Elephas maximus indicus: one gene and its partner. The protein of the gene in region 1 purifies or fractionates together with the protein of each later gene. This does not show direct contact. Links are inferred from orthologs where the notes say so. Each region holds a gene or a part of one and is shown on either strand. Other genes may lie near its edges. The genes, in order: UBXN2A and PPP1R11.

Region 1 (10,484 bases):
TCAAGTCTATACACATACTATTTTCTGACTATAAAAGTTGCCTTCTTCAGTTTTTCAGATATTGGTGGAAACTACTGATTGAATAGCATCAAAGAGTAGTAAAGAAGTACAGATGAGACTGTATGATATACAAGTGGAGAAGTCAGAACTAGATTCAAATATTACCACTACTACTTACTACCCATTTTGCTTTCTATAAGCCATTTAACCTCCTTGGCAATTCGATTTCCTCAGTTGTAAAACAGGAGTGCCATCACCTGTCTTATGGGGTTGCTTCAGGGACTAAATGAGACAGCATTAAACAATACCTGGCTCATGAAATGCTAAAACTTAGTTTACTTCTGTCCGTATTAGGCTACCATCAAACGGGCAGAAGGGCAAAGCGCAACAACTAAATTTATCAAAAGTCAAGGCTGCCACGGTCTCCACCAGGCTGAGCCCTGTAAAACTAAACGGTGCTCAGCTACCACCACTGACTGCTCTGACAGGGATCACAATAGAGGGTCCTGGACAGAGCTGGAGAAAAATGTAGAACAAAATCCTAACTCAAAAAGAAGACCAGACTTGCTGGTTTGACAGAGTCTGGAGAAACCCTGAGAGTATGGCCGCTGGACACCCTTTCAGCTCAGTAATGAAGCCACTCCTGAGGTTCACCCATCAGCCAAACAGTGGACAGGCCCATAAAACAAAAGGAGACTAAAGGGCCACACCAGCCCTGGGGCAAGGACTAGATGGCAGGAGGGGACAGGAAAGCTGGTAATAGGGAACCCAAGGTTGAGAAGGGAAAGTGTTGACATGTTGTGGGGTTGTTAACCAATGTCATAAAACAGTATGTGTACTGCTAACTGTTTAATAAGAAGCCAGTTTGTTCTGTAAACCTTCATCTAAAGTACAATTAAAAAAAAGAAGAAAAGTGAAGGCTGACAATACGAAAATAATTTAAAATGAGAAGGCATACTTTCAACTCATTCAAAAAATACTAATTGAGCACTGTATCCGGCAGGCACTGTTGTAGGCGCTCAGAATATAGCTATGAAAAAAAAGTCTTTCAAAAACATCAAAAAAAGCAGCTCCATCAAAACATTCACTGAGTGAAGTATTAGAACTCTTTTCACACTGAATATCTATGTCATTCATTTGGCACCTACCTCGAACTGATGTATTTTATTAATAATTTTTCATATGCACACCGTGTGTATATATACAGTCCTAAAGATGAGTTGATGGCAACGGAGCTTTTTAAAAGGTGAGGACTGTGTTTTATTTATCCTCAAGTCTCAAAGTCCTAGCACCATAATTTTAACGAATCATTTCACAAATGGATCAGTGCCTCAATACGCTATTCATTCATTCATTTAAAGATATTTATTGAGTGTCATGTGTCAGACACTGGCAATACAGCAGTTAGTAGGAAAAAGACATAGTGCCTGCCCTCATGGAGCTTATAACCTACTCCAAAAGAAGAGCCTGGGGGAGAAATCATACAAAAATATCATATACCTCCAGATAAAACTACAATAAGAATCTAAAAATTAAAAAAAAAAAATTTAATACCAAAACACTAATTCAAAAGCATCTGAAGTTTATGATCCGACATCAGCACATACTCAAAGTACCTAAAAGCTAATACAAAGTACCTAAAAGTTGAAGTCTATTAACTTTAATGTAGAGGTCTTTTCTATCATTTAACGTAAGCCACATACAATACTTACCTCTCTAAAATGTCCAGCTTACATTTAAATAAAGTTAACACATTTTACCTGTGGTTTTTTCCTCTAACTTTGTACTTCCATAGAACTTTTTATCCAAAAAATCCCAAATGCTTTTTACTCAGCAATGCATTTTTCACAAAGTCTCCCTGGCAGGAGTAAGAGAAACAGACAATATTCCTATTACAAGAGTAAAAACCCAAATACCAAGTAATCAACTAAGTAATGCGCAGAAATGAAACTTCACTGTATTTGTCCAAAAAGAAATGCCAAACACACAATTCAAAGGAATATATGTATCACTTTTCTACAACGGACTGGGTCTTAGAGACAGGGTCACTCTCCTCTCAGTGGAGACACTGACTAGGCACCTTAGTTCTCAGAACAAGTGGTACTCCTATCACCTGTTCAGCAGGTTTCCAGAGGTTATGGGTGTACCTGTAATTACTCAGAAGACATGTAATCAAGGACCTATCAAAGGACTGGTTAAAAAAGAAGACTATTGTGGCTTGAGCACATGCACTTACTTCCTCTCCCACCCCAAATCTCACAAAAGGTATAGCTTAAAAAGAAGACAAGCATGAACAACACAGGGAGATAAGAAGGGGGAAAAAAAATACTAGTCAGGGAAAATGATCAAAGGAATTATTATGTATTTAATTCTACAGGTGTTAAAAGCTTCATCCACGAGCTAAGAAACAACTGAAAGTTTGTATATTTGGACTACAGAAATGGCCAGTAAATGAATGTATAAAGTTGCATTTTCAGTTGCTACCAGAGATGATCCTATGAACTCCACCTCTGCTTTTGGTTCAGAATTGTGACAGAAGACATTGTTTCCCACATTACTCAAGATCTTCTATATTGTGCTCCAAGTGAGAAATACTTCTGAATTTGATAGAAAAAAACTTGCCCTACTCTGAGGAAATTGTATTTTTCCCTACACATCTGAGAGTGATACATGTTATTACTTTTCCCTCTCAGACTTCTTTTCCATGATTAACCCTCAATTTCTACCGCTGTGCTTGTATTATGTTGGCAAATACCATGAGTGATAGAAAAGGAGGATCACAAATTGATAAAAGAGCATATTACAAAAAGACCCAGGATTAATACAGCACTTCACCTAAAAAGTTACTCAAAGTATTTATTCTGATCTTCACAACTAAGATATGAACTCTAAAAGAGTCAGTGACCACGTCAAAAAGACCAAAAGCTAGTGACAAAGCCAGGAGTACCCACAAACAGACCTAACAAAGAGAGGTAGGAAAAGAATTGAAATATTTTTCAAAGACTGTTGTCTAGTTCTGTGAGGACAGTATTAGTTTGCTTGCTGAGATGGCACTTAGGTAGAGCAAATAAATGCTAATTTACTAATGGCCAGATTAACAGAGGTCAAGCTTCATGCACGCCAAAAAGAAAAAAAAAATATATATATATATATATAGTATATAGCAGAGATCACAGCTAACTGCATAGCACTGCAATTCAACTTGACACTAAAAGTGTGGGCACAAGAAAATAATTTCAGTAACCTGCAAAATGTATCCTATATTTATCCCCCTATCATATATATACACTACCTGGGGAAAAGGCAAAGCTATAAGAATAGCCTTTAGTACTATGGCTTTTTAGAGTAAATCATATGCCTCTAGACACAGTGAAAGAAAGAATCTAAAAAGACTCAGAGGGGAAGGAGGGAAAAATCAGCATAAAGGGTTAAGTGAACAACAGCACAGAAGTGAAACATGAAAAGTTCCTCAATCACATATCCTACAAAGGAATACATTTCTTCCTACAAAAATCAGTTTCCTAAAAGCAACAGCATGAGCAACCCCTTTTTCTATCAACTAAGACTTCACAGGCACTAGCAAATGTCTATTACAGACCCCAGAGCCGTGGAGAGTGCTTTATGTGAACCAAGTACTAAACTCCTGTCACATAACACCAACTTTACAGGGAGAGCTTACCAGACTCAAATCAATCCACTTCAGAAATATACAACAAAGGAATATACAGTCTGCATCATAAATATATAGCCCAAAAACCTAATAAATCCAGTAGAATTACAATTTATCCTAAAAGACCAATCACTATGTATGATTAGCAAATCTCTAAAATCTCTGAGAAAGCAATTAGATCACTGCACCATCTACTAGAGCCAAACGCAAATCTTAAAACTGAAAAACAAATATTTCAAAGTATATCTTCGTTAGCCTGTTATCATGGTCTTAAAACATTTTAAAGAAGTCCTTAAAACATAGTTTCATTAGCATCCTTCTAGAAAGAGCTCTAATATCTTTCATTCTTCTAGCAATTTAAAAGCTACCAAATGTTCATGTCTACATTATTGATCCTTGCTTTTAACATCCCCATAACAGCTGCTTGACAAATTACCTCACCTTATTCCTCAGGGGGTTAGGACAGAATGATATCCATGAGTTCAAAAATGTGACCACAAACTGATCAGTGACAGATGAGCTAATTGCTTTGGATGAGGTAGAGACACTGCTCTAATAGACAGTCACGGCATGATACAATTAAATGCTTATACTCTAAATATTTTATTTGTATGTAAGCGTAAAGGGCAGAACTTTTCTTAAATTTACTTTTATTTTAAAATTGATAAGACAGCTTCAGAAAGTCAGAAAGTTTGCACATCTTTGCGACTCTTTCCACAGAAAACCTAGTCTTCAGAATATTTACGCTGAATAGTTTGGACAACTTTAACACTTACCTTTCTTATTTCAACCTAAGAGATTGTTAAGCCCCAAAATATTCTATTAAATAAGACTGAGTTTTAAAAAATATTTTCCAGATTTTTAGCAAAATAAATGCCAAAAATATTTTCAAAGATACAATAAATATATTTCAGAGTAATACGGTAAAATGTTTCCATTGTCTTTGCCTCGACTCCTTCTGTGATTCACGTCAGAACATTGTGTATGACACAAAGAGAAAAAGTATATTCAAACAGTAAACTTGTAGACCCTAAAGAACATAAAAAGTTGCTTTCCCCGGTAAGAATAACAAAATGGTGTGGATTTAAAGGAGCCTTTAGATGAATGGCATGTCCCAGCCAAATCACTCTTGGTAAGTTAGCCTCTTACTAGAAAGAAGCAAGACTGTTCTGAATTCAAGACCAATCTCATAATTGTCAATTATCACTGGTCAATTCCTTTAAAGTGATCATCTAGCTTTACGTTTTACACTGTGGGTAATGAAATTTCAAGATCTTTCCACCACTTTAAAAAAAACAAGCACGCACTTCAAATACCACTTTTGCAATTGTGTGACAACGGAGGTGTTAATTCACCTTTTATAAACTATTCCCGCAACAAAATGTAGACATTCAAGCAGCCATACAATTTTGGGATGATAATACCTACCGTCCAAAACATTCGACACGCTTCTTTCATGCCCCCTTTGTGACCTGAAAGCTTGTTAGCTGGCTGGATCGCCAGCGCTGAAGCTACAATATCCTGTTTGATCTCTCCTGCCTGGAGAGGCGATAGCGTTGATTTTGTTTTTAAAGTTGGTATCACGGCAACTATAAACTTTTTTCAGCATCCCTGCCTGGCTGCCAACTGGAGCTCTCTGTTCACTTCCTCACCAACTTGAACCACCCCCAAACAGTTTTAGAGTAAGCTGAAGTTAGACACCGACAAGAGCTGACACACTTTCAAGAAGGGTTTGACACCGCGGAAAACTTTCACTTCTCCTCTCCAGCCCTTCCACCCAGGGAGCCGATCCTCGGCTCCTGCTCCCCGAGAATTCCCCTCTGAGGCAGGACAAGGACACGGAAAAAAGACGGTTCTAGTGCCCCTGCAAAGGTGCCCCAAAAGCCCTCTCCCCCGGACTCAAGTTCTGCTCTTTACACAAAAGAGCCGGGGCAACGAAACGGTGGCGGCCCTTCCTGAGCCGGTGCCACCTCCACCGCGCCCGCAGACCGGGTCTCCGGCCGCCCGAGCGGTCTCCGCCGGAGCTGTCCTGCCCCCAACCCGGCCAGACAAAGCACCGGCGGCTGGGCCGAGACTTTCAAGCCTCCGGACACGGGCTGCCGCGCTCTTACCCGGGCTTCGTCCAGAGCGACGCCGCCGCTTCCCCCGGCCTTGGTGGCAGGGCAGCTGGCAGCGCGGGTCTTGGAGGAGCGGGTCCGAGAGGAGATGAAATGGCTGCTGCCTCCGGTTGCCCCAGGCTCCGCTCCGGCCCCAGGCCCAGGCCCAGGCCCAGGCGACTTGGACCCGAGAAGGCGCAGAGAGCTCTTCCGGGTGTTCACCATGGTCCGGCCAGGGAGACGGGACCCACGCCGCGGCTGCCGCGCCCCGGGGAGGCGAGGAAGGCCGGTCCGCCGGCCGGGCAGTCAGGGCCAGCGGAGCTGAGTCCGGCAGGGAGATGAGCCGGCTCGGACTCTGCGAAGCGCGGGCGAGGGCAGGCGAGAGTAGGACAGAGGAAAGGAAGTCGGCGTGCGAAGGCAGGTAGCGACAGGCGTGAGTGATGCTCCGGGCCGACACACAGCCCCTTCGCCGGCTTCGCCCTCCTCAGCGGGAGCTGAACGGAGCCGCCATGTCTGCCCCTTTCTCTCTCGCTCTAGCTCCCTCGCTCCGTGCGTCAGGACTCAAGCGCCGCAGGGCCGACGCGATCGCTTCCGACCGTGGCCGCTGCGGGGCGCTGCAAGGCCGGCCAGCCCTTCCCTTCCCGGTTTCTCCCTCCTCTCCCCCGCTTCGCCTCCCAGTAGGCCCCGCCCGGCGGCGCGGCGTCAACTCTCGGCTGCGAGAGAGGAGACGCTCTGGGCTGTGTCATCTCTATGGTTTCCGCGTCTCCCCCGCGAAATAGGCTGTGCTGAGGGGTGTTGGGGAAGACCCGACAGCGCGAGCTTGGGAGTAATTGGTTCTGAGGCCCTTCATACCTCCCCAGGCCCGAGTACCTCAGACACCCCCACCATCACCCTAGGTGACCTGGAAGGCGCAAGGAATGAGCAGCAAAGGCGGAGGAGGAAGGGGTGTCCGGGGGAACGGTGACGACGAGGGCGCAGTCAAATGAATTGGATTCCCAGAGCTCCCCTAAGGCAAGGTACTGAACTTGAGTCACACTTTTCATGGCTGTAAAAATGAGGATAACTGTGATAAAATAGATCTGCAGTGTCTGGCACAGAATAGCTTAAAAAAAAAAAAGGCCACGCTAGAACCCTCTGCCTTTAAACAAAGCAAGGCAGGATCGTTTCCTATAACCGTAGCCAAGGCAGAGCCACAAAGGAACGAATTCTTCTTACTCAGAGTCTTGCTTATCACTGCCCACTCTCTGCCTGCCGAACCCAAAGATATCAAATGCGTGGTTTAACTTTAAAGAAAAAAATTTAAGGCATACAATTAATATTAAAAGTTCAGCTGTAAAGTAGGGGTTATGTTCATTTCAAAAATTCACTGTTAAGAAGAGGTAGAGAGCCCACTATTGGGGCAGAAGTTTTTCCTGTTTTCTACAGCAACAAAAACAAGCCTCCAGAAAAGCTCTGCGAAAATCACCAGGCGGTATCACAATGAGACCATTCATGCCATCCAAGCTCCTAATCATTTAATAGAACTGCATATAGCACTGGGTATGGAAATACAGTTTTTCTCTTTGGGAAAGCAGTACTGATTCCAGGAGGCAGCAAATCCTTTTGACACTAATTTGCATACCACGCACCGCCCTAGGACCCTTCACCCGCCACTTAAAACCAGCCTTTTAATGTGTGTGGAGACCTCAGATTGGAAGAAGGCCTGGGTTTTCCTGAGGCAGTTAGCTGTGAGATTATTGACCAAAACCTTTTCATTTCCTGCCGAAAGAGACTGGTTTTAAGCAGTGTGTAAATTGTCCCAGTGAGGTGTGTGGTATGCAAATTAGCCGACAAAGGATTTGTGTGCTTTCCTCCATTGTTTTGTTTTTGTAGTCTTAAATTCGGGAGGAAAGATTATAATATGGATTATACCATTTACTATCAATAAATGTTTACCCCAAACCCAACTAGTATTAGTAGGTACACTGCCAGGCTCAGATATGTGGAGATTTAAAAACAGTAACAACATAGTTCTGGCCCTCAGGGAGCTCACAAACAAAGAGAGGATGAGGGACAGTCAAGGAACTACTGAGCTGCAACACAATGTTACAAGAAAGAATGAGGTACAGACCCCTAATACAAGCAGGGGTGTTAGGGAAACCCTCTGCGTGGTAATGACCCTTGAGATGCTCTTTAAGCCACAAACAACAACATACAAAGGCAACATGGACAAAGGAAAGCCTGAAAAAGACTTGGAAGAGTTGCCTATTTCCCAGAGTAGGAACTAGTGAAAATAACTAAAAAGTCTTAATAGAATTTTTCTTTTGACATTATTTAAAACTACATCCACGAACCAGCAAGACACTGAGTAACAGCAAGAATTCAGACAAGTAAGCAAAGCCCTAAAGGCAGCTTTCAGTCTCAATGCATTTGCTCAACCCCAGTAAATTAGACCTTCTATTTTCTCTGCTTCAGGAGATGCAAAGGACAGGAGACCAAGTCCAGAACCTGCTCAAAGTATCAGTCTAACAGTCGCCCTGCAAAATCCTGGTAGCAAAAGGATTCATCCTAAGTACAAGACCAAATTAGGAGTAAACAACCTTTCCATCATTCCCAGACGACAGCAAAGAAAAGTGCCTTTCCCAGAATTGACGCTAAGAATAAGGGATAAAAAATATATCCCTTGAGAATTCAAAACAACAAACTGGTCCTCCTTCCTATTTACAGCCTGAATTCACCAAATCTGATAGGTGTGAAGACCCTCAGGATAATCATTTAGACTAAATACACTTGAGTCAAAAGTGGTCCTAAGCACAAAGCAAAAGCAAATAAAAATCACCTCTGAAAGAATGAACCTTTAACAGGAGATGCAAAAAAAACAAAGTCTTATGAATACGACTCACAGTAAAAGAAATTCACAAAACACACAAGAAAAAGTTACGTAAAACAGCGAGCGAAAAAGAATAGCCGTCAGAATAAAACCCATTGCCATCTAGTCAATTCTGACTTATAGGGACCCTACAGGACAGAGAACTGCCCATAGGGTTTCCAAGGCTTTAAATCTTTACTGAAGCAGACCTCCACATCTTTCTCCAGAGGAGTGGCTGCTGGGTTCAAACCACCAACCTTTCGGTTAGCAGTCGAATGCTTAACCACTATGCCACGAAGCCTCCTGACATCTGAATAAGACCCACAAAAATTTATATTCAGATATATAAAACAAGTGTTTAGCTATTTAAAGAAGTGAAAGATTAGAAAATATTAATAAACAAAAGCTTATAAAAATGACAAGCAAATTTAAACTGAAAAATTGACCATAAAAAAACAATTAGAAATCAATAATAAAAAGTTACCTGAAAATTCCTGAATATTTAGAAATTAAACAATAATTCTAAATAACACATGGGTAAAAAAATAAATCAAAAAGGGAATTAGAATATATTTTGAACTAAAGGAAAATGAAATTAAGTGTTTCAGAAATTGTGGGATGTAGCTAAATGTCATGAATTGAATGGGGCCCCCAAAAAGTATGTGTCAACTTGGTTAGGCCATAATTCCCAGTATTGTGTGGCTGTCCTCCATTTTGTGATTGTAATTTTGTGTTGAGAGGATTATGGTAGGATTGTAACACCACCCTTACTCAGGTCACCTCCCTGATCCAAGGTAAAGGGAGTTTCCCTGGGGTGTGGCCTGCACCACCTTTTGTCTCTCAAGAGGTAAAAGGAAAGAGAAGCAAGCAGAGAGCTGGGGACCTTATACCACCAAGAAAGCAGCACCAGGAGCAGAGCAGGTCCTTTGGACCTGGGGTCCCTGCGCCTGAGTAGCTCCTCAACCAGGGGAAGATTGATGACAAGGAATCTTCCTCCAGAGCAGACAGAGAGAGAAAGCCTACCCCTGGACCTGATGCCCTGAATTTGGACCTGTAACCTACTAGATTATGAGAAAATAAATTTCTTTGTTAAAGCCATCCACTTGTGGTATTTCTGTTATGGCAGCACTAGATGACTAAGACACAAAACCACCGCCTACAGAGAAATTAATAGTTTAAAATGTATGTATTATAAAAGCAAAAAAAAAATCTCAAATCAGTGAACTAAGCTTCCACCTTCAGAATCTCAGGAAAGAGGAAAAAGCAACTCAATGTAAGTAGAGGTAGGAAATAATACATGTAAGAAGAGATCGATGAAATAGAAAATAGAGAAAATCAGTGAAATCAAAAGCTGATTCTTTGGGTGAAAAATAGTAAAAATCACTTCTTGTTGCTGGTTGCTATCAAGTTGGCTCTGACTCATGGTTACCTTATGTATAGCAGAACAAAATGGTGCCCAGTCCTATGACACCTTAATGATCTTTGATGTGAAACTCTCATTAGACCAACCAATAGAAAAAGAGAGAAACATAGTTCATAAAGAATATGTTCTACATCCTACTTTGGTAAGTAGTATCAGGTCTTAAAAGCTCTAAGATACATCTACTGGTCCCTTTCCATCCTGAGCAAAGGAGAATGAAGAAAACCAAAAACACAAGGAAAATATTAGCCCAAAGGACTAAAGGACCACATGAACCATAGCCTCCACCAGCCTGAGCCCAGAACTAGATGGTGCCTGAGTACCACTACGGACCACTCTGACAGAGATCACAATAGAGAGTCCCAGACTGAGCGAGAGAAAAATGTAGAACAAAATTCAAATTCACACACACACAAAAAAAGACCAGACTTATTGGCCTGACAGAGACTA
Region 2 (10,397 bases), on another chromosome or scaffold:
GATCTGGAGGGTTTTGGACCCAGTTCCAAGAGGGAAGAGGGGTCTTTAGAGCAGATATGTCTGTGATAGCCTGATTCCTATGAGAAGTAGGGGGCTTTGATTAGGCCTCCCCTGCCTCACTAGTTCTCTTCCCAGATTGATAGACGCTGCTCCCGATGTGGTCATGAGGGAATGGCATACCATACCAGACAGATGCGCTCAGCTGATGAAGGGCAAACTGTCTTCTACACCTGTACCAACTGCAAGTAAGTATTATTTCCTCTTCCTCTGCTTTCTCAGTCTGTTTACTAACTAAAATACAGTGGCTTAAATTTTTACTAAACATTTCTTTTCTTTGATCTCATCCAACATTTCTGTACAGTTTAGGTAATAGGGAGATATGTGGCCTTTTTTTTTTTAAGTAAATTACTCTTTCTTACCCTTTTTATAGCAGTTAACTAAACTTTTAAAAAATATTTATAAGAAGATGAAAAAATACAGAAGGCAGGTATTGCTTAGTGGCCACCATGTTATGCTGGAGCCTACCACTGCAATCAAGGTACTTTTACTTTGGTGAGAATTAGTAAAGAGTGTGGACTCTGAATGGTTTTGAGAACTGGCCTTTGTCTTTGGTGTTCTGTAGTTCCATTATAATGTGTCAAGATGTGGCTATCTTTTATTAATCCTATTTGGGATTTGTTGGACTTTCCAAAACTAGGGATTGATTTTTTTTCTTAAACAACCTTATAAATGATTAACCATTATCCCATTGAATGTTGTCTTTCCCCTATGTTTAATTCTCACATTCTGGATCTCTAATTAATTGTGTAAGGAGTCCCTGGGTGGTGCAGAGGGTTAAGCACTCACCTTCTAGTTGAAAGGTTGGCTGTTCGAACCCACCCAGAGGTGCCTTGGAAGACAGGCCTAGTGACCTGCTTCTGAAACCTCATGAAGCAGTTCTACTTTGCACATGTAGGGTTGCCATGAGTTGGAATTGACTCACTGGCAAACAACAATTAGTTTTGTAGTAAACCCTCTGTTCACTATTTCTTACAACCTGTCTGTCTTAGTTATCTAGTGCTGCCAAAACAGAAATACCACAAGTGGGTGGCTTTAACAAACAAATTTTCTCAGTTTAGGAGGCTGGAAGTCTGAATTCAGGAAGCTAGACATCTGAATTCAGGGCACCAGCTCTAGGGGAAGGCTTTCTGTCTCTGTCAGCTCTGGAGGAAAGTCCTTGTCTCTTCAGCTTCTGTTCCTTGATTCTTGTGATCCTCATGTGGCATGGTATCTGTCTTCCTCCATCTGCTTGCTTGCTTAATCTGCTCTTTTATATATCAAAAGAGATTGAGTTAAGACACATCGCTATACTAATACTGCGTCATTAACATAAAACAAAGAAAAAACATTCCCAGATGGGATTATAACTGAAGGTATAGGGGTTAGGATTTACAACACATATTTTGGGAGGACACAATTCAGTCTATAATACTGTCTTTCATATTTTCCATCTTTTTTCCTCTCTATGCTGCCTTCTGGGTATTTTCTACAGGCCTCTCTTCTAAGTTACTAATTCTTTCTTCAGTTTATTTCGGTTATTATTTTTTCATTTTTATGAGTTCTACTTGATTAGTTTTCAAATCTTAGTCATTTTTAAGTCATTTTTTAGTGTTTTTTTAAAAATAACTAGTTCAATTTAAATGCATATTACATTTAAATTGAGTTATTTATATTCTGTTTCTGGTAATTCTGGTATCTATGGAAACCCTGGTGGCATAGTGGTTAAGTGCTAAGGCTGCTAACCAAGAGGTCGGCAGTTTGAATCCACGAGGTGCTGCTTGGAAACTCTATCAGGCAGTTCTACTCTGTCCTGTAGGGTCGCTATGAGTCGGAATCAACTCGACGGCAGTGGGTTTTTTGGTTTTACAGCCTTTGTGATCTGATGCTGCTGTTGTTTCTGATGACTGGCTCATGGTGCTGCTTTTCTTGTTTTTGTGTTTTTACTATAAACTCAGGTTTTTTAGAACTTTATGGGAATTTTTTGAGGCTTGGGGTGAATGCTGTATTGTCAGCATTTGTGTTTGCTTTTTCAGGTGTCTTGAGGCACTATGGAAACGCTGGTGGTGTAGTGGTTAAGTGCTACAGCTGCTAACCAAAGGGTCAGCAGTTCGAATCTGCCAGGCGCTCCTTGGAAACTCTATGGGGCAGTTCTACTCTGTCCTATAGGGTCACTATGAGTCAGAATCGACTCGACAGCACTGGGTTTGGTTTTTTTGGTTTTGGGGCACTACAAAGCTGGAATCACTTTAAATAAATTCTCAGCTTCAGGTTTTTCAAACCGCACAGGTAGTATGAATTTGGGCTGTAAAACCATGTAAGGGCCAAGCTTATGGTTAGAACTTCTCAGGCAAGGTCTTTCTCTCCCTCTACCTATTGAGTCACATTCCCCTTCTGCAGAGATGGATTCGTTTACTTTTACATAGACCGGTAGCCCTTTGGTGGGGGTGGTGTGCAGATTTATAGGGATCTCCTAGCAGATGTTGCAGGTTTTGTCTTTGGTTTCTTATGCTCCGTGTGGCTGTCAAAACAGTAGTTCAGGGGCACAAAAGGTAGCAGGGGACTTTTAACTTACTTTTTTGGATTCCTGGTTTTACATCATTTTTGACCAGTGAAAAGATTACCTGTACTTTCTAGCCAACTCATCAATGGATTTTAGAAAGAGAATTTTCTCCAGTCTCTGGCTTGCCTATTTATTTTCTTAACTTTTTATGAGTAGAAGTTTTTTATTTTGATGTTTATCCATTTTTCCCCCTTTTATGGTTAATATTTTTTGTGTTCTAAGAAATCTTTGTGCACCTCAAGGTCATATAGTTCATCATATATATTTTTTAGTCACAGTGTTTTTAGTTGTCCTGACGTTGTCTAAGAAATCTAGTTTTCCACAGTGGCATAAATAAAAGTTCTTCCTTAATTCTTTAACTGAATGTCTCATCTTACACTGCTACAAACTCTTCCTTTGGCCTAATGTACTGAGTCCTTTATTTTTCCATAGGTTCCAGGAGAAGGAAGACTCTTGATGTTTTTTTTCTGGGCTACTCAACAATTTCTCCTTCCCTCTCCTCTTCCTTGGAAGGTGAAGGGTATTGGGTCCTTAGATACCCTGTCCATGATCGTTGGTTGCAATATCTTGTTCTCAGAAGGAAGATTAGATCATGTGGGGACTACCGTTGTTTCCAGAGCACTCCAACCCCTAGTTAAGTTTCCTTATTAAAGTTATATTTCTCTAGAAGACTCTAACATATATATGCTGTTTTTAATTTGCCTTATTTCAAAAGAAATGTAAATGAGCTTACAGAGATATATTCTTTCAGCAAATGTATCAACTCAGAAAGATAATATAAATTAGTAATATAAGACAAAGAAAACAAAAAACCCAAGGACAAAAAATGGAACCAGAGATGATGGTAATATAAAAAAGCAATTAAAAGTATTCCCTCACTATTTAAATCTATTTGGTTACTGAGTTTAGGAAAACAAAAGTGGAAGTTTGGACAGTGAGAGGTTCAACCAAAAATCTGCATCTATTTGGTTTATAAGTTTGGGCAACAAATTTGATACCAGGGAGTACCAGTGTATACTTATGACAGTGAACAAGAAATTACTTAAATGGAAATATTTTTTCTTTAGCTGCTGTGATGCAGTGAATTACTTAACGTGGCCCTTCTAGCCATAGTCTTTGTGACTTCTGCACAATGACTGGGTGGGACTATGCAAATAAGGTGCTTTTGGCCCACCAAGGGGATTGGACAGCTTGCTGCTAATGCAAATAAGGTACATGGAACACTTGTGGGGTTGGGACCATGCACATAAGGTTTATGGAACCCTAACAAGGGGATTGGTCGGTTTTGACATCCCACTAGGCTTAAAGCGAGACACCGGGGAAATAGAGGGAGGAGTTGTAACAGGGAAGACAGCGAGAGACCGCGGCACAGCAATAGCAAGAGTGATAGTGGTGCAAGCTGGCAGGAACCACGAGACCAGCATGAGATGACACCGAGTTAAAGAGTTGTAACTTGCCGGAGAAGGCCCCAAGCAGGGCACAGCAGCAGAGGGTGAGAAGAAGCTGTCTTGATTAAGAACTGTATCCTGAGTTGTTCCTGTTACTTCTGAGTAGTTACTGGTCCTGAGCTGTACCCTATTACTTCCCTAATAAATCACTTAACTGTAAGTACAATTTGTGAGTTCTGTGAGACATTGCAGCGAATTATGGAACCCAAAGACTGGAGGGAGAGTACTGAGGGGAGGGGGAGTAGTTGACGTTAGAGATGATGGAGTGGTACAGCAGTTTGGAAAAGTTGGACGTTTGGAACATCTTCAGCCTCTGCCTCAGGAATCAGCTTTGTGCTGATCCTTACAAAAGAAATCATTCATTCAACTGCCCTGGAGATAAATGTAGCACACAACTGTGTGTCTCTTCATATACTCACACCTTTCAAACACACCACCCTGTTTTATCCCTACAGCAACCTGGAGAGATGGGTAGGGCAGTCTTCCTAGCCATACACTTGGAATGTTCTTGTAGTTGACTTTCCTGCCCCGCTCCCAAAATCTGAAACAAATCTGTGCATGTTTCCACCCTACTTTAAGCCATTACCTGGCTCATACACTAACTGGATAAAGTCCAAATTTCATAGCAAAGCATACAGGGCCTCCCATATAACCAGTGCATACCCATCAAGTGTCATCTGGCACTCTTCTTACATCCCAGCAATACAAAACCGTTTGTGCACACACCTCTGACTTTGTCAGCTGTTCAATCTAAAAAGCCTTTGCCCACCTCCCGGTTCCCTTTTTTACCAATTTTTTTTTTTGCTCCCCAAGAACTTGTATATATTTCTATTGCAGCACAAATTGCCCTATGTTGTAATTTCTGGCCGTTTCTTCGCTTAGTCTTATTCATCTCCACCCCAGTAACCAACTCAAGCGAGAGTACGCTGGCAATTGTTTCACAAATTTACTTCAGTTTTAATATCCTAATGATTTATAGTAATTATCTGCGTGCCTGTTTTTACCACTAGTATGGGAGTGAGTAGTTCATGCGCTTCCATCTTCAGGGCCTAGTACCTGAACCCATTGCCATCGAGTCAACTCCGACTCATGGTGACCCTGTAGGACACAAGAGAACCACCCATAGAGTTTCCAAGGAGCACTTGATGGATTTGAACTGCTGACCTTTTGGTTAGCAGCCGAACTCTTAACCACTAGGCCACCGGGGTTTCCCAGGGCCTAGCACAGTAATTGGAATAACCCAAGTTGAAGATGCATGAAGTGCCTTGCCTGCACATTTACAGGTACAGGGCGAGGGCTAGAACCGAGATCGTTTGATTCCTCAAGTGTATTTTCAACTGCACCAAGGCTTCCTCTCCTTAATTCCCAGGAGTAACGACCAGGAAACGGGAATAGGCCATTCTAGGGTCTTTACTATTGCCCCTTAGTTTTCTCCACCCAACCCTCACCGCAAGGGTTAAGGGTCTGGGGCTCAGTTACAGAACATCACAAACCTTAAGCTCGCGCCAGGGCTAGCCGTAGCCCGCGGGGCAAGATGTCTGCAGCGCCGGGCCCATCCCACCTCTACTAGACCGCCCCTCCTCCTTTATCTCTAGTGCGCTTTCACGAGCTACCCGGTCGGTTTCAACCCACTGCAGTGACGCTCCCCTGCAGTGACGCTCCTTCCGCCAAATAGCTAGTTCTTCTTGCGGCGCCTGCGCAGGAGGGCGGAACTAACCTGGGGACGCCTGCGCTCTGACGCTTTAGCTGAGGGGAGGGGGCAGGGAGAAGGGGAACTACAGCAGTCCTCACACCCGGAAGCGGAGAGCCGGAAGTGGGGTTGGACAGGTTATCCCAGGGGTGGGGAAGCGGACGCCCAGGAGGAGGGGGAAAAAAGAAGGCGGAGGGTCCTGGCTACTACACTGAATCCGATACCGATTCTCTCAGATCTCAGAAATACTGAAAAAGGGAAGGGTGTCTTGTACCCCTTCCTCCCCTCCACCCTCTCCTCAGCCTTAGCCATGGCCGAGGCAGGGTCCGGGATGAGTGAGACCGTCACTGAGACAACGGTTACCGTGACAACTGAGCCCGTGAGAAAGGCGGGGGGCGGTGCTGTTTAGGGGTCTGGGAGATATTGGGAGGGAGGGACAGGTTATTAGAGAGTTGCTCCAGGAACTGCGCTTGGGGATATGCGAGGAGTGGGGTTGAATATCTGGGGTTTCGAGAATCACAAGATACTGGGGATAATTGGATGGAGCAAGCGGCTAGTCAAAGGACATGCAGTGGCTTAGAGTTAGGATATAGGTGATGCTGCTTGGGGTGATGGTGGTATAACTAAGTAATGAAAGAATGAGAAATTGGGGGTGAGGACCAAGGAGGGCGCTGGGGGGTGGGGAATGAAGGGCCGTGTAAGGAAGCATGGCTGGAGGCCAGTTAGTAGAGGAATTCAACCGGAAGCATACTTAATAAATATTTTTTTAATTGAATGTAAAGAGGAGTGGAAGGAATGAGGGAAGAAGGGAGATGGCGACAAGTGTTTTGAGAAATCAGAGAGGGGAGATGTGAGATGGAGAAATAAGTTGCATTTTTGCAAAAATAGAGATTAAGTTGCTTTCAAAGGAAGAGGGTTGCATTGGTTTAATGCCTGGATTAAGGAAGTTTAGAATAGTCGTTACTGGATATGCCAGGATGCTAGGGAATAGATGGATGGGAAGTAGGAAGGTCTGAACTGGAGGATGGGAGGGGTGAGAATGGAGGTCTTTCTGTAACGGAAAAAAAGGAATTGGGGGTCTGAATAAAGAAAAGATCAAAGATTAGGCATTGGGGACTGAGAAAATAATTTTCATGTATTAATACCACCAAGTATGATTTGGGAGGAAGACGGAGATAGAGCGAGGATTATATTTTCCTTTGAACATATGCTGAGACCTTCCCTAGGTTAGGAATTGTGTCTTCTCCGTGCACTATTGGATATCAAGAACAGGAAATAATTCTTCAATCTTCCTCAGGGGACTCCCTGAGGCCAAAGACCTGTTCTATTTTATCTTTTCCCAGCCCTCAGCTCCTCTTGTACTGCGTTTGTGGTACTGATTAAGCTGGGAAAGGGACGAGAAAAGGCCCCTGGGAGGGAGTGGGAATGGTCTGTTGGAGGGGAGTAGATAGGTATGCCCATCTGTCTTAACCCTCCAGGAGAACCGGAGCCTAACGATCAAACTTCGGAAACGGAAGCCAGAGAAAAAGGTGGAATGGACGAGTGACACTGTGGACAACGAGCACATGGGGCGCCGCTCATCAAAATGTGAGTAATCATTGGCCCACAGTAGCCCTTAGGTCCTGGCTCCCCTCTGCAGATCTCTCTTATATCCACTGGCCACCCCAAGGACCCCAGATGCTTATGATCCTGTCACTGTCTTGCTGGTTCTCTGGCATTAGAGAGAGGAGGTTAATAATAGAGGGAAAGAGGTGGGGAGAGGGCTAGAACTGGGGTGTGCCTAGGTCTGAAGGCAAGATGTAGCAGAGGTTAGAGAAATGGGGTTTTGGATTCCTGGCTCTATAAAAGGAGAGCCCAGGACATAAGGGTTGGGTCTGTGAGTCCCAGAGGGTAAGCCTGGGGAAGCTGGATCCTGGAAGGTAGGAGGAGGCAGTGGTAGATGTAGGAATTTTCACTGAGATCCAGTGAGAATGGAGCTGACTCTACATCTTACACTTTCTTCTTTTTAACTGGGTTCCTCCCCCCACTTCCAAATCTAGGCTGCTGTATTTATGAGAAACCTCGGGCCTTTGGCGAGAGCTCCACGGAGAGTGATGAGGAGGAAGAGGAGGGCTGTGGTCATACACACTGTGTCCGGGGCCACCGCAAAGGACGGCGTCATACATCCCAGGAACCAACCCCCACCACCCCTCCCCAGCCTCCTGACCCCTCTCAGCCCCCTCCAGGGCCAATGCAGCACTAAATTCCTCTCTCCCCCACCATTCCATTGTCTGCTTGGCCCTGAATGTATCCATGTGGCTACTTGGGGACTAAACTCATGGTTTGATCCCTTCTCTAGTCCCCCTCCTTCCCTCTTCTCTGCCTGATAGAGGGAAGAAGAAGAGGAGGGTGGACAGAGATCCTGGAATTCTGACTTGCTGCTATACCAGAACCCGGGCTTCTGGGTTCCCCCAGCCCTGATTTCTCTTCCCAAGACCCATCCTCCCCTCCCCAGGGATCTAGGCATCTTGGTTCTAGTCCCCTCCCTTTGTTCTCACTGCCAAACAGCCTGTCCTGGGATCCAGTTATCTCAGTCCCCTGAACTCTACTTGAGTCCCAAACACTTAAACTGGGCTTTCAACAGCCCCAGCTTTCACTGCCAGGGTCCCAGTCAGATTCCAGGCAATCTTGCCCCAGCTATGCCCATTAATCCTGGCTTAGAGCTCTTCCACTAATGTATTTACACAGTCCTAACTCTTAGTCCTCACCTGTGGGATGTGAGGTTTCATGGAAGACCTCAGGGCTCCCAGCCCTACCTCTCCTCCCCTTCTGACCACTCCCTCATTCTGTCTAGAGGAGTTAGGAGAGAGAGGTCTTTGTCATTCTCATCTGTAATGGAAAATGGAGCAAGAAATAGTCGTGTTCTTTCTCAGAGATCTAGGATTCATGAAAGAACTGGCTCTGAAACTGGCCAGTTAGAATCGTCTCCTCAGCATCGGTCTTCCAGCTTCTGAGACAGATCCAACATAGTCCCAGGGGCCTAGGTCCCTAGAGGAGGGAGGGAAAGGCGGGAGCTGAGAGATGGGGGTGTGTGCCTCACACTCTTACCCCTTCCTTGTTAGGCTTTAATGCCTCTGCCAGCCCAGATGTCCAATTCTCTTGGTCCTCTCCACCCCTTACTGGGATCTGAGTATCACTTCTCATGCCTCTTGACATGCACGGTTGCAGAGATCAATCAAATCCATACCACCAGAGATCTCATTTATTGCCACAGATGCACAAAATAAATAACCCAAGGTCACAAAACGTGTTAAATACGGGCCCATTTATACACATGGGGAAAGATGCGAGCCTATGTACAGGGTTGTTTCGGGGAGTCTGGGCCATTCCCAGGTAGAGAGGAGAGGTAGCACCATTGGTTCCATTGTGAGTACGTACAGGTGGTAATCTTAAGAAAGCTCTTAATGGAGAAAGGCTGTGAGCATAGGAAGCAGTCATGGATGGAGAACTGGTCCACAAAAAAAAAAAAAAAAAAAAAGGCTATTAAGCTTCCCAGAGGGCCCTGAGGTCTTGGCCAGAGTCAGGCCATCTGTTTTTTAGTAGGCAGCTCTTGTGTAGGAGAGGCTTCCAAGTGCACAAGGCAGGGAATGGAGAAGGCTTTGGGCCCTTCTGTGGAGGTAGGAGAGGCTGGAGTGAGAGCTGAATGTCTGACTACCAGGGCATCTGTGTCGTAAACATGGGTCCTTCATCCATACTGATGGAGCAGAGCCTGCTCTCTAATTCAGCCTGGGAATCCTGTAAGACGTGGAAAGGTCAGTTGGGGAAGACGGGCAGGCGTGGAGGAGGAGAAGGTCCCAAGAGGGAGAGGCAGGAATGGATTCCAGCTTTGGTGAGGATGTGGAAATCTGGAGACCAGTCGAGAACCACACTCAGCCTTCTGCCGGCACGATGCGGAGCAGGGCGCGGGGATCGCGGGTGCAGAGCAGGGGGAAGACGCGCTCCCCCAGGGGGCCAGGCGCCTGGAAGGCGAAGAGCAGGTCCAGTGAGCGGCCGTCGTAGAAGGCGACTCGGCCCCGCTCCCAGTCCAAGTCCACGCGAATGCGGCGAGGCGGGGGCCCAGCGCCCCCCAGCAGGGTGGGCTCCGGGGCCGTGAGAGCCCACAGGCGGCCTCCACGGCCCTCCACAGCCCACACAGCCCCCGCGGGGCACAGCCCTACGCGGCCCTTGCGTCGCACTGACTCCCCGGCCGCGCCCACGGCGTAGCGGCTCTCCCCATCGTCCTCATCCTCCCCAGAAGAATCCTCGCAGGAGACGGTGTCCGCGGTCTCCACCTCCCAGCAGTGGCGGCCAGCGCCGAAGCCCTGTGCGCCCAGCACTGCCGGGAGCTGGTCGAAGCGCGCGGGGCTGTCAGGGGGCGCGGGCGTCCCTGGTGGGGCCAGTCGGACACTGCGGCAATCGGAGGAGATGACCAGGTGGCGGTGTGCTGTGCCAGGATCCAGGGTCAAGTCGGCTGGAGAGGGGAGGGCAGACAGAAGACCGCGTGAGAGGGGCAGAGAATACTCCCAGAGGGTAAGGGTAAGGGTGCTAGAGGCCCCCAACAGCTGCAGGTGGCTGCAGAACCAAAGAAGGCAAAGGTATATGATATCAGGCCTGGGCAAGAGGCCATGGGCACTGATGCACC

The links.
Region 2: the proteins of UBXN2A (region 1) and PPP1R11 purify together in Homo sapiens (affinity purification with mass spectrometry; 3 studies listed by BioGRID and IntAct, counting the BioPlex papers as one, with this or other methods). This does not show direct contact. The link is inferred for Elephas maximus indicus from reciprocal best matches to the Homo sapiens genes UBXN2A and PPP1R11.

Annotation. Positions count from the first base shown.
Region 1 is NC_064830.1:41,455,244-41,465,727, forward strand, and holds the start of UBXN2A (UBX domain-containing protein 2A), read left to right. Parts: upstream 1-6,520; 5' UTR 6,521-6,748; coding exon 6,749-6,782; intron 6,783-10,484. Other genes in the region: ATAD2B (ATPase family AAA domain-containing protein 2B), read right to left, coding at 5,782-5,991. UniProt on the Homo sapiens protein: Acts to repress the ubiquitination and subsequent endoplasmic reticulum-associated degradation of CHRNA3 by the STUB1-VCP-UBXN2A complex in cortical neurons.
Region 2 is NC_064819.1:89,724,010-89,734,406, forward strand, and holds PPP1R11 (E3 ubiquitin-protein ligase PPP1R11), read left to right. Parts: upstream 1-5,880; 5' UTR 5,881-6,047; coding exon 6,048-6,116; intron 6,117-7,215; coding exon 7,216-7,324; intron 7,325-7,776; coding exon 7,777-7,979; 3' UTR 7,980-9,026; downstream 9,027-10,397. Other genes in the region: POLR1H (DNA-directed RNA polymerase I subunit RPA12), read left to right, coding at 136-245, 3,032-3,056; RNF39 (RING finger protein 39), read right to left, coding at 9,646-10,226. UniProt on the Homo sapiens protein: Atypical E3 ubiquitin-protein ligase which ubiquitinates TLR2 at 'Lys-754' leading to its degradation by the proteasome.